Caenorhabditis elegans: one gene and its partners. The protein of the gene in region 1 interacts with the protein of each later gene in a pairwise test. Each region holds a gene or a part of one and is shown in the gene's direction. Other genes may lie near its edges.

The links.
Region 2: the proteins of gpr-1 (region 1) and lin-5 interact in a two-hybrid assay, tested with the Caenorhabditis elegans proteins (6 studies listed by BioGRID).
Region 3: the proteins of gpr-1 (region 1) and kxd-1 interact in a two-hybrid assay, tested with the Caenorhabditis elegans proteins (2 studies listed by BioGRID).

Annotation. Positions count from the first base shown.
Region 1 is NC_003281.10:8,627,123-8,631,337, forward strand, and holds gpr-1 (G-protein regulator 1), read left to right. Parts: upstream 1-1,803; 5' UTR 1,804-1,834; coding exon 1,835-2,082; intron 2,083-2,133; coding exon 2,134-2,634; intron 2,635-2,684; coding exon 2,685-3,292; intron 3,293-3,344; coding exon 3,345-3,565; 3' UTR 3,566-3,654; downstream 3,655-4,215. Other genes in the region: polk-1 (DNA polymerase kappa), read right to left, coding at 1-210, 261-616, 665-899, 968-1,120, 1,174-1,374; DnaJ homolog dnj-10, read left to right, coding at 4,053-4,146, 4,212-4,215. UniProt on the Caenorhabditis elegans protein: In the 1-cell embryo, probably together with gpr-2, controls nuclear rotation and spindle elongation during mitosis. Complex of gpr-1 and gpr-2, in association with lin-5, activates G-protein signaling to affect mitotic spindle force.
Region 2 is NC_003280.10:7,858,788-7,864,188, forward strand, and holds lin-5 (Spindle apparatus protein lin-5), read left to right. Parts: upstream 1-1,871; 5' UTR 1,872-1,872; coding exon 1,873-2,012; intron 2,013-2,058; coding exon 2,059-2,676; intron 2,677-2,724; coding exon 2,725-3,778; intron 3,779-3,826; coding exon 3,827-3,941; intron 3,942-3,992; coding exon 3,993-4,201; intron 4,202-4,309; coding exon 4,310-4,639; 3' UTR 4,640-4,776; downstream 4,777-5,401. Other genes in the region: sds-22 (Protein phosphatase 1 regulatory subunit SDS22 homolog), read left to right, coding at 1-72, 115-246, 292-520, 567-653, 700-891. UniProt on the Caenorhabditis elegans protein: Essential component of the spindle apparatus required for spindle positioning and chromosome movement. Acts to recruit or anchor gpr-1/gpr-2 complex to the spindle and cortex.
Region 3 is NC_003283.11:7,219,804-7,222,685, forward strand, and holds kxd-1 (KxDL domain-containing protein), read left to right. Parts: upstream 1-1,665; 5' UTR 1,666-1,675; coding exon 1,676-1,768; intron 1,769-1,826; coding exon 1,827-1,909; intron 1,910-1,958; coding exon 1,959-2,161; intron 2,162-2,210; coding exon 2,211-2,254; 3' UTR 2,255-2,353; downstream 2,354-2,882. Other genes in the region: C13F10.6 (FTH domain-containing protein), read right to left, coding at 96-798, 849-987, 1,042-1,176; C13F10.7 (CCHC-type domain-containing protein), read right to left, coding at 2,533-2,882.

The DNA of each region.
Region 1 (4,215 bases):
AGAAAAAGTTCTCTCAACTGAAATGCTTTTTCTTCGTGGATCCGATTCAGATGGACGACCTGGCAGTCCGAGAGCCGTTCGAAGGAAAGATTCTTGTGAGAGAGGCGTGAAACACAAAGGGTATAGGTTCTTCTTCAGATTCATATCACCAACAGTTTGAATATCCATTGCTTTCAGTTGAGCTTCGCATACACGACCAATTCCTCCAACCTAAAAAATTATCTAGGTAAAACTAGAAGGTTATGCTTTAATAGTCTCACCTTACGAATCGGTAAATCCTTCAAAAACTCCATAATCGCGTTTTTATCATTTTCTAACACATATTGACCATTTGGTTTGTTCAAATCAGAACAAATCTTAGCGAGCATAAAGTTAGATGCGATTCCAGCAGAACATGTTAATCCCGTGAGTTGTTCAACTCGAAATCGAATTTCTCGAACAGCCTCCTCTCGTCCAGTTCCGAACTCCACATGGTCGTAGTAGATTTTCCGCGATTTTTCGCATTTTGGACAGATCGATTCTTCGATTTTCAAGTCTTCCAAAGTATTTTCATTCTCGTCGAAACGGGGTAACCAACATGGACAATCTCCGCCGAATCTGTGACGCTTGAAGGTTTCTAGTAAGCAAATAGTTTTTTGTTAATAATCAAATCTAAATCACTAACTTTTTTCTGTATTACTTGCCACATAGTCTGTCAAATCTATAAATGCCTCATCCAATGACATCATTCCAACATCCGAATCGTATTCCATGAAAATTTGTGAAAATTGGCGACTGACTTTAGTGTATTTAGGGTAATTTCCTGGAACAATCGTTAGACTCGGACAAAGTTTATTTGAGATGAAGCCAGGCATTCCAGCACGGACTCCAAAACGGCGAGCCAAGTAGTTGGATGTGCTCTGAAAGAATAGATTTAAAGCTTTTCCGAAATCGAAAATTTACTTTTCAAATTGAGTTAGGTGCTTACCAGCATTGCCGATGAGCCTACGGCCATAGGAACTGTTCTCAGTGCAGGATTATCTCTCATTTCAACTGCGGCAAAATAAGCATCCATATCTATACAAACACAGTCTCTTGATAAATCTCTAGATGATTCCAGTTTCATCTCAAGATTCTCCATCTGAAAATTGGAAATTTGCTCTAAGTAAATTTATTAGCTTTTAAAATACATACCAGTATCTCAGATTTTTGTCTTTCTTCTCTGGTTGCTGTTTGCAAACGATTTTTGATTTCTAAAACTTTCTCTTCAATTCTTGATTGTTGTTTTTTGGAAAACGACGAGTAGGACGCTGATGTGTTTTCTTCGATGACTTTCGTGATTTTCTCCTTATCCAGTCCATTCATTCCAGCTTTATTATCGTTGAAAGTCAGCATTTTTCACGAAAAAGAGCCGGATTTTGAAATTCGCGGAGAAACTCCACTGATTGTGAGTGTGCAAATGCGCGTAATGGTGTACTTACGTACATCGGCAACACATTTGACGACATATCAGAAAGCGGCGCCAAATTAGAAGTTGAGTGCGCGAGAAAAAACTACGCGTTAACCGCCAATTTTCACTTCCCCACAGATCTGTCTCGAGATTCTCGAGTCATTTTTCAAGTTTATTTGTTTGTCAGCGGTTGTTTTATTGAAGATTTGTAAAATTTATAACAAAATGTGCAATAGTCTATTAAACCTCGTGAGATATTTGAAGAAACTTTCCCCGTTTTAAATATTTCGTGTATTCGTGGAGATCGCGGGAATGTTTTGCCTGTTTCCGTAAAATTCCTCTATTTCTTTTATTTTTGCTTGCAATTTTCGATTCATTTCAGAAGTTTCCACATTCGCAAAACGAATGGACGTCTCTTATTACGATGGTCCCAAGGATGAAGTCGCCGAAGCAATGCTGAAAAGCGCGGTGACGGCCATGAGATTGGGACAATACGAGGATGGAAAAGGACGCTTAGAGGAGATAATGGAGTTCGGAACCTCAAATTTTCAACTACTTGGTACAATCTACATGTATTACGGAAGAGTGTGCAGGCATTTGAACCATGATGCCAAGGCCTTGGAGTTTTTCGAACATGAGTTGAACATGTTCAAGTAAGTGAATCACAAAAATGAGCTGGACATTCTATAACCTTAATTTTTCAGATTGATCTTCAACTACCCAGAAGCATGTGATTCCACACGTCGCATCGTCGAGCAGGCACTCAAAATGGGAAAGTTCCCCAAGGCTCGACGGTTTGCTGAGGATCTCATTGATTACACCAGCAATAAGAAGAACGGAGAGAAGTATATCGGTCAAGCTCGAATTTTGTTCGCTTCCGTGTGCCTCGAAGGATGTGAAAGAGACGTCGAGAGTAATCAAGATGAGAAGAAGAAGCTTTTGTCAATATGTGCTGAACAGATTGCAGCCGTGAAATTGTTCAACGAGAATAATACGGAAGGAGCTGTGTCTGAGACCAAAATCATGTTACTTGAGGCGAAATGCTTGTCACTAGACGAAAAATACGAGGAATCGCGTCGCAAGTATCAAGAATGCATCGATTTTGCCATCAAAACAGACCAGTTTGAAGCAGTTCACATCGCCTATTACGACAAGGCTCTATATGCTGAGACAGATCTTCTTTTCTTTATTATCAGAGATCTCAGGTAATTTTTAGTTTTAACGATTAATAAAAATATCAATTCTTTATTCACAGAAGTGCTCTCTTCTACGCCACGAAATTCGGAAAAGAGCGAGATGTAGTCAAATATAAGTCGAAGCTATCCGAAGAGATGCTGAGAAATGGCGAATTCCACGAAGCATATCTCTACGGATTGGAAGCGCTTGTATCGATTCGGAAGCTTGGATTGAACGAATACATTGGAGATGTGTTGCTTACAATCGCAAAGTGCCTCATTGCACTTGGAAAAAGACGCCAAGCTGCTTATTTTATCATCTTGGGGAGTGTTCTGACCATCAACCAAAACAGTTTCAAACTGTTCTACGAGCAGATCGACGTGGCGATGAATCAAGAGAGAAGCGAAACGGCAACTGATCAAGATGTATGCCTCGCAATTGATTCGTCTCCTGATCCGACATCCTCGAATGACATGATTAATAAGTTCGTCGTCGAACTGGAGCACGCAACAAATGTGGAAACCTGGGAAATGATTGTCAACGGAATCATTGACGACCAGAAGAAACCAGTGGCGATCGAAAAGAAAGAGAACGAGGAACCCGTAGACATGATGGATCTCATTTTCAGTATGAGCTCACGTATGGATGATCAAAGAACTGAACTGCCTGCTGCCAGATTCATTCCGCGTAAGAAATGTTATAAATAAGCGTATAAGTATGCAAATTTATATTTTTCCAGCTCGTCCAGTGTCATCGGCATCGAAAAAGACTACAAAGAGTCACAGAATCCTCCCTGGACTCCGTGCCAATTGGACAAAAGTGCAGTCGATGAAGTTCGATGGTCACACAATGAATAGGATCCTGAAGAGGTCGAAGAAAAGCAAATCGTCATTGGATTCTACAAATTCGATGCAGGGCGATGATACTCGAAGCGATGATGTGACAATGACGTCCAAATAGGACCATTATTTTTTCTGTCAAATAATACAATCAAACTTTCTTTATTTATTTTTTTTTTACTTTCTTTCAGTAAATATTATTATCATTTTAGTGGTTCTTTTATTTTATTTGCTGGTCAGAAAAGCTGATTTTTTCAATTAGCGAAAATCCATCAAGTCATATTTCTATAGACTCTTTACTACATACGTTGATGACTTTCGTGATTTTCTCCTTATCCGGTTCATCCATTCCAGCTTTATTATTGTTGAAAGTAAATAAGCATTGTTTCCCGAAAAAGAGCCGGATTTTGAAATTCGCGGAGAAAAAGTTGAAAATTGAAAAATCCAAACGATGCTCCGATGTTCCGTCCGAAATGTGTGTTTTACCGTGACGGTGTTTGCAGACAGCTTGAAAAAACATTTATTTTTTTATTTTAATTTTATTAATTTATTATTTATTTTAGAATGTTCTATATTTTAAAATGTGAATTTGTTTCAGGGTACTCGGAATGTTTGTCTTAAACCGTTCAAGCGGGCTCATTCATCGATCTGTACCTTTATTAGCTCAAGTATCCACGCCTACGACTTCCACAACAAAATTAGGTTAATAATTCTCCATTTGGTGATAAACCAATTCTTTTCTGCTTTTTTAAAACATTATGTTACAGCTCA
Region 2 (5,401 bases), on another chromosome or scaffold:
AAATCAGTTGACCGAAATTTCGCATCTCGAATCACTCGTAAATTTGGTTTCTCTTGATCTGAGCTATAACAGGTGAAGAATTTAAGAAACTTTTATTTCAATAATAACTTTCAGAATACGCCAAATCAACGGCTTGGATAAATTGACAAAGCTCGAGACTCTTTACCTTGTCAGCAATAAAATTGAAAAAATCGAAAATTTAGAAGCTTTGACGCAGCTCAAACTGCTCGAACTGGGAGATAATCGGTAAATATGGAATGTTTCAACATCAAAATCACAAATTGTGTTCAGAATCAAGAAAATCGAGAACATTGGTCACCTTGTAAATTTGGATGAATTATTTATCGGCAAAAATAAAATTCGTCAGTTGGAGGGAGTGGAGACCTTGCAGAAGCTCAGTGTTCTCAGCTTGCCGGGAAATCGTATTGTGAAAATTGAAAATGTTGAGCAACTGAATAATCTGAAGGAACTTTACCTCAGTGATCAGGGTCTACAAGATATTCATGGCGTCGAACCTCTGGTAAAAAGCAATTCAAAATACACTGAGAAATGGGTCTTTTTTGCAGACTAATTTACTTCTTTTGGATGTTGCAAATAACGAAATCAAAACGTTCAGTGGCGTTGAAAGACTAGAAAGTCTTAATGATTTCTGGGTAACCGAGACATTTTACGTTTCTTCTATATCTTTTATTATTGCAGGCAAACGACAACAAAGTGGAAAGCTTCTCCGAAATTGAGCAACTTTCAAAGTTAAAGGGTCTTCAAACTGTATACTTGGAGAGAAACCCGTTCTATTTCAATGATACAAACCAATATCGCAGAAAAGTTATGATGACCCTCACCCAAGTAACTCAAATTGATGCTACTACGTGCAGAAAGCCAATTGAATAACTCTCGGACGCTTCCAATAAATATCCGTTTGCTTTTCTTATCCATGATAATCTTTCATAAATATGTATCAGTTTGCTTCATTGTTTGATATTGAGAACAAAGTGTAAGGTTATTAAGAGGAATCGCAAATGAATCATAATCGACCTCCATATGGGCGAAGCCAATCGAAATGGCCAGATATTATCAGCTAATGAAAATTTAAAAAAAAAACGACTAATCAAGAGTTTGAAAAAGGTTTCATACTTTGAGAATAATGCAGTAGTTTTTAGACGGTGCGGTGAGATTTTAAGAAGAAATTATTTATTCTTCTCGCTAAATAAATATGAACCAAAACCAACTTTCCATGCCTGAAAACTTAAAGTGTGTCAATTACAGAGCTTTTCTTTTGAGAACAATCAAGAAGTTTCCTCGAAAAGTATTAAACATATATGAAATGAAAGCTACTGTAAGATTTTTTGTTGTGAAAATAAAGATTTTATTGGAAGGCGCACTTAACTTTGTCCCCTAAAAAAGGAATGTTCTTTCTTTGTTTTCATTAAATAATTTCAAACTCAGCAATGTGTATACGGTTTTTTTAAAAGGCGCATGCACATAATCTTTCACATGGTTTTATAAATAAAGAATGAAACCATTTTCGCGCGCGCGCGCATTTTTGGTTTTATTTTTCATGTTAGATTCCTCTAATGTTCATTTCAATCAGTGTGTCATCCCACTTTTTAACAGCTTCATTTTTATTTATTATTCGTCCTTTTAATATTTTTTTGGTAGACTTGTGCATGTTGACCTGCAGGTCCATGGAAAAATTGTCATTTGAATTCCCGCTGTTTTTAGAAGTGTCGTGAGAAAAGTGTACGAGCATGGTGTAAGAGACGCAGACATTCTGCGTGCGTCTTTTAAATATTCTTCGTTTATGTATGCGTTCTCTCTCGTTCTTTCGCTCAACCACTCGCATTTTCTTTGAATAATTACTCCTTCTGCAGAATGAGCGTGAGCACATCAGTTGTGAAGTCAATGCTACAATTGACGAACTATTTTGGCTCCAATTTCACACCGAAGACGGAGACAATCAGCTCATTAGCCGAGCTTTGGGAGAGGCACGGGAGTATGATCGCCAGTATGATGTAAGTAATAGCTCATTCATAAACAATTTCATATTTTATTTTTCAGGTCATGCGACACTCGGGAGTTTGGCACAGCTGACAAATTCTATGAAGTTATCTTCCGCAAAATCGCCACAACGAGTCTCAGCTTCATGACCGATTCATTGGAACCGAAGCTTGCAGCGAGCGGAGATTCACTGGAGATTTGCAAATTCTACGCTCTGTTTCTCGAGTATATGAGAAAGGATCACTCGGGAATGCTCACTCGCGCATTGGAGCAAGCGTCATCAGAGAATCGCGTCGACACAGCTGTGCTTCTTGATATGTTTTTGTTTTTCGACAACGTGTATTCGGAAAGTACCGCTGACGACTGGTGGGCATGTCTTCGGAGAGATGACGAAGATCAGGAAGCATCCAGTGGCTTCAGGACTCCGAAAAGGAACAACTACAGCTTGACATCATTGCAAACACCAACAGCTACTGCCCGGCGACTACGCACAGCTTCCTCAACTGCTCGGCGAAGCCCTATAGCGGAGGCTGTCGATTCCCCTACCATGAAGTTCATGCGAAGCGAGCGGGAGCTGAAGCAGTCTAAAGCGAGAATCTTTGGTTTGGAGCAAATGTTAGGAGACCTTGAAGATGACAAGACCAAGTTATCGGCTGAGAACAGAACTTTGAAGCTTTCGTAAGTAAAATGGTACATTGAATTTAAAATATGGAGAAAATATTTTAGGAATTCCGATCTGAAAAGCGACATCGCTAAACTGAAAGGTATCGCCGAGGAGGCACAATTTCGTGCTGAAGAATTGAGCTGTGATCTCGAAGCCAAAAAGGATGAAGTCCACAACATTCTCCAACAACTCAATGAATCTCGAATGACGTTGAGATCCGAGCAAAGAAGTCTGGAGGAAGCTGACATAAAGAAAGAGAATCTTACTGCTAAGCTGAAAACGGTGACCGAAGACAATGGGAAGCTCATGAAGCAGGCCAGAGAGCTTCGAGATCTCAACGACTATGAATTCGCTAGATTCCGTCAGCAGGAACAGGAGCTTACTGAGACTCTTCGGGCGACGCAGGACCAAATGGCTGACCTCCAGGAACAACTTACCGGAGTGGAAAAAATAAGAGCGTCTCTGAAATCTGAAAACGAGAGCCTTTCTGCCAGTGTTGAGGAGTTGAGTGTTGCTTCATTGAGAAACAAACAAGATGCTGACAACTCTAAAACTATGCTTTCCGAGGAACTGGCGCGTTTTGAAGAGACTGTGGACAAACTCCGACAAGAAAAGCTTGAAGCGTTGAGCATGGCCAACTCCAGAATCGATGCTCTTCGTTTGGAACACTCGGAAAGAGAGAAAATGATGAAATCCACGAATGCACGCCTTCAGGCTGACCTTGACGAAGAGAGGAACGAGAAAAAGCGCTTGATGAATCTCTGGAATGAACTGAATGAAAAGTCCCTGAATGTCGACAAAGCTGTACATAAAAGCAACGAAGAATTTCAGTCAATGGGTTCTTGTCTTCAAAATGCGAAAAGACAAATTGAGCAGTTGGAAGTTGCGTGCAAGAGTAAGGACGATATCATCAAATTTCAAGAGGAGCAGAACAAACGAGCTGCCAATCTGATAAAGAATGAAAAGGCAATACGCGATCAGGCCTCAGCTCAATTTGCCGAGAAGTTGGCAATTCTCAAGAATTCTCTAGCGGAAAAAGAGAACGAAACAGTCACCCTTAAAGAAAACTTCGCAAGTGTGGTAATGAAGCATAAAGCCGAATTGGAGGAGAAAGAGGTTTGCTTGTTGAATATCAAATTGAATACAACATTACTTACTTTTTAGCTGTTCCTTCAATCTAGAGTGGATCTGATTCAACGTCTCGAGCACGAAGTTGCAGATCTTCGAGAGAAGGAAAGCGCCGAGATTAAGAAATCCACCTGGATGGGTGAGAGAATCAGTGAGTTCATATTTAACGTTTCGAAATTGAATTTTCAATCTTGTTTTTCAGAAATCTTCCAACAAGCTCCAATGAGAGGTTCGAGAATCAGATGCGGTTCGCCAGACAGCTTGCCAGACTTCCTCGCCGATAATGGACCAACAATTACCGAAGAAGAATTGCGAGCACAGCTTGCCACGTTCCCAAGAAAATCGATTGCTCCTAGTGTGGACGACAACGAATTCGATAAAGGAACACCGATTGGATTCAAGTCGAATATGGTAATCAGTTTATTATTATGCAACCTCAATTTTGTGAGACGAGACAATTTCTTATATAGACGAGACAATTTCTTACCACAAATATTGTCCAGAACGTTCAATTTTCAGTACGATGGACGTGAGTCAATTTGCTCTTTGGATTTCTTCGACCGGTCTAGTCTTCAACGTTCGTCGATGCGATCGGAATCTATCCAATTGGCATCGCCATCATCAGCTGGAGAGTTCAAGCAACCATTCACACCATCCGGAGTAACCAAGGAAAGAGTTGGAGTGCTCACTGCCAGAAACGAGAAAGTGAAGCCACACCTAAAATGCTCGTACGCCTCTGAAGTTGGAAGTACGAATTCGCCATCCGCAGACGAGGAGAATATCAAGAAGTCCAAGAAAAAGAACCGTCGGGATTCGATTTTTTCTGCTTTTTCGAGCAAAAAGCAGTAAAATATACTTTCATACATTGTAATATAACTTTTTCACAACACACTTTTGTTTTATGTTTTGCTCCGTGTTGTATCCTATTTTATCTATTTTACAATTCCTTTCCTAACGATCGCTGAGAAATGAAGAAGTTTCTTATTTTTTATGTGTTCTTGTGAAAATGATTGTTTCATCGCAGTTCTATTGTAAGAATCAGGCCCTTTTCCTTCACAAATCATCGTGCCGACCAGGGGTGTGCGGCGAATATTAGCCGAATTCGCCGTTCGCCGATGATTTTTTCGATTCGCCGAGTTCGCCGTTAGCTGAAAATTTTGAAAATCGGCGTTCGCCGAATTCGCCGTTCGCCGAAAAATCGCCGAATTCACCGTACGAGAATCGGCGAACTCGCAGAGCGAAATTCGCCGTTCGCCGAAAATTTCAAAAATCGGCGAGCGCCGAATTCGCCGATCGCCGAAAAATTCGATTCGCCGCACACCCCTGGTGCCGACGCGTCCCCGTTTGAATTGCCGCCCAGCCGCCGTGGTCGCATTCTCCGCGCCGAGACCCATCGTCGATAAAGGCTGCTCCTTTAACCGCCGAACGCCTAGATATATAAGCTGAGGATCGCTCATTCTGGATCATTTCTTAACCTTTTATAAGTTACGTGTCTTATTGCTCCTTTCTCCCGTTTACTTGTTGCGACATTGCCATACGTCTGTCCCTTTATACTAATAAATGCTTGTAAGATAAACCTCGCGTAGCTTGTTATGATAAACCCCACATCCT
Region 3 (2,882 bases), on another chromosome or scaffold:
TTAAAAATGTATAAAATTATTCTAAATTTTGTATTATTTTTTTTTTTCAATTTTGCAAACGACTCTACTCTTTTTTTTTCGAAAATTGAACATACGATATGAGAAGCTCTTTGACAGAGTACATTATCGGCAGAACCGTTTCGAGTTGAATAAAGCCGTCTTCGTGAAGATTCGTCATATGAATAACTTCTGCTTTTTTGAATATCGACGGGCAAGCATCAGCTAGATCCTTGACAGTATTATCCTCTTCGTCTCGAAATTGAATATTCAAAGTTGGAATCATTTTTCTTGTCGGTGAAAGATTATATGGTCCATTTGTGATGAATACTTGTAAAACTCGTGATCTATCCGACATGAATTGAGTCAAAGCAATAATAAGATTTCGCGGCATTTGTGGATCAGGAAAAACCAGCTGACACGTTTCCAGTTGAACTTCATGCAATGCCATCTCGACCATAATTTCTTCAATGAACCACGAGTTTTTAGATAGGCTCGGATTGACGTGGCAGCAGAAATGTTTCAAATTTGGATTTATTAGTCGTTTCATTCGTTCAATTTCCGTACACCATTGTCGATCGAGATGAAGTTCCAATGATTCGATTCGATCCAAAACGGCGGCGTCGCCTGATTCCTCATCCAATTCAAACGAAAAGTTTCGTGCATTTCTCACAATGATTCTGTTTAATTTGGGAAACTTTTCTATATTGTCCAGAATTTGTACAGTAAATCGACGGCATCTAATTTCAAACTCCACTATCCGATTGAGAAGTCGCTTGCTGACTCCGTTGAAGAAAACATCTTAAATTTAATAATAAATTCCTGAAAATTATCGTTTTTGCAGTAATTACCTGGATTTTGAATAGTATCCTTGTAATTATAGCCTACTATTTCGCTACGTTCATCTTCAGGAACATCTGAACAGTTTCGAACTGAAAGACGGGACGAGAAATTACGAGGTCGCATGAGAAGAGTGAGAATTGATGGCCACTGAAATAAAACATAATTATAATACAGGTTTAAAATAATTATAAGCAATCTCACATTAGGATCTTCTTCCAATCGAATCGCAAAATTTCCAGAAATCGGAGTTTTCAAGCACAATTCTCTCAATCTTCGACTCGAAAGCTCCAGTGAATTTCGATCTTTGAACCTCTCAACAAATTCGATAATCTTCATCATTAGCATGTCATTCCAGTATAGTAACGTCTTCGTTTCCTCACCATTTGGCATCAAAAACTGCAAAAATATATGTGATATGAGCGGAACAAGAACACAAATCTATGCGCAACAGCTTGAACAAACATTCGGTTGACCGAATCGAATCGATAAAGGTGCGGGGAGACTAGCGGAGCGTGGTGGTGGTCACTAATGGATTCTCGTGAAAAGATTTATAATTGATATTCAATAAATAAATCAACAATTAGCTTAATTTTAACTATTTTCAAATGAAACGGAACGCCGTCCAGATGCGTGTCAGCAAGTGCGCGCGTGCGTAAATCGATAAATTTGCTTTGACATTTTCGAGTTGCACACTCACAGCGCGCGGCTCTTTTCTTCCATTTTCTCATGCTTTTTTCTTGTTTTTCTCAATCCCTGCTTCAGCCGTTATTCATGTTTTATGTCTTGTTGTGTCTAGAATAAAACATTTATTAATAATTTTTTGTTTCAGTTATAAATGGCTGAGAAAAATCACCAACAACAAGAACGACTACCTGGCAACCCGTTTTTCCCATCAAGAAGCAACGCTGGCTCTTCATTTGACATGCCCGTAAGCTTTCTAATAATAATAATGGGAAAAAGGAATAAAAATATTTAATAATATGCAGGAAACACCACATCTCATCGATTCGCTCACTTCTCAAATCGACGAATTCACAATTCAAAGCATAATTGATACTCAGAGACAGAGGTAATATACTGGAGAATTTAGAATTTATTGATTTTTCTTTTTTTTTCAGCTTGAAACGCTTCGAAAAGACAAATGAAATGCTCATGAATTGCGCTCAACTCGGCGATCGAAGAATTGAAAAAGCAAAAAGGGATTCTGTGGGACACAAAGAGACAATTCTGCAGATGAAAACTGATTTGGAATTTATTTTCAAAAAAATTCGCATGTTCAAAACAGTTTTGTCGTCAAAGTATCCAGAAGTTTATGCTGAAGGTGCAGATATTTTAATTTGAATACTTTTAAAAAGTTCATCAAATTTCAGTGTCAGCCGAGCTAACGCCAAAACGAAGCGAGGAAGACGAATGAAATACAATTTATTCGTAATTGAAAAACAAGAAGAAAAAAAATAACAGATCATTTGGAACAAATACAAGTCACAGAAATTCAATAAAGATCTCAAATTTTTGATTAAAGTGAAGTCGAAATAAGTTATAAAATTTTTTGTTTTTAATTTAATTAGTAACTTCACTATGGGGACTTTTTGACACAAGAGAAACAATAGAAATTTGAATAGAGAAAATATTAATGTGGAGGTGGTTACTGTCGGAATAAAAATTTAGAGTTAAAATATCAATATTACACGATTATGATCTACGGTGACGTTTCGAGTCACGACAGTCATCATCAGAATCGGAAGAAGCTGATCTATCATCTGAGGAAGAATGACGGCGTTTTCTTTTTTCCTTTTTACTTTCCTTGCTCTTCTTCCTTTTTCTATCCTCTTCCTCATCAGAATCACTACTATCATCAGAATCATCTCGTCGCCTTCTCTTCTCTTTCCGTTCCTTCTTTCTCTCCTTTTTCTCGAGTTTCTTCGCCTTCTTCTTTTCTTTTTTCGCCTTCTTTTTCAGCTTTTTCTCCTTTTTCCGCTGCTTTTCCAAAGCAATGAGCGGAGTCTCGTCGTCACTTGATTCAGATGATGTCGAACTGACCT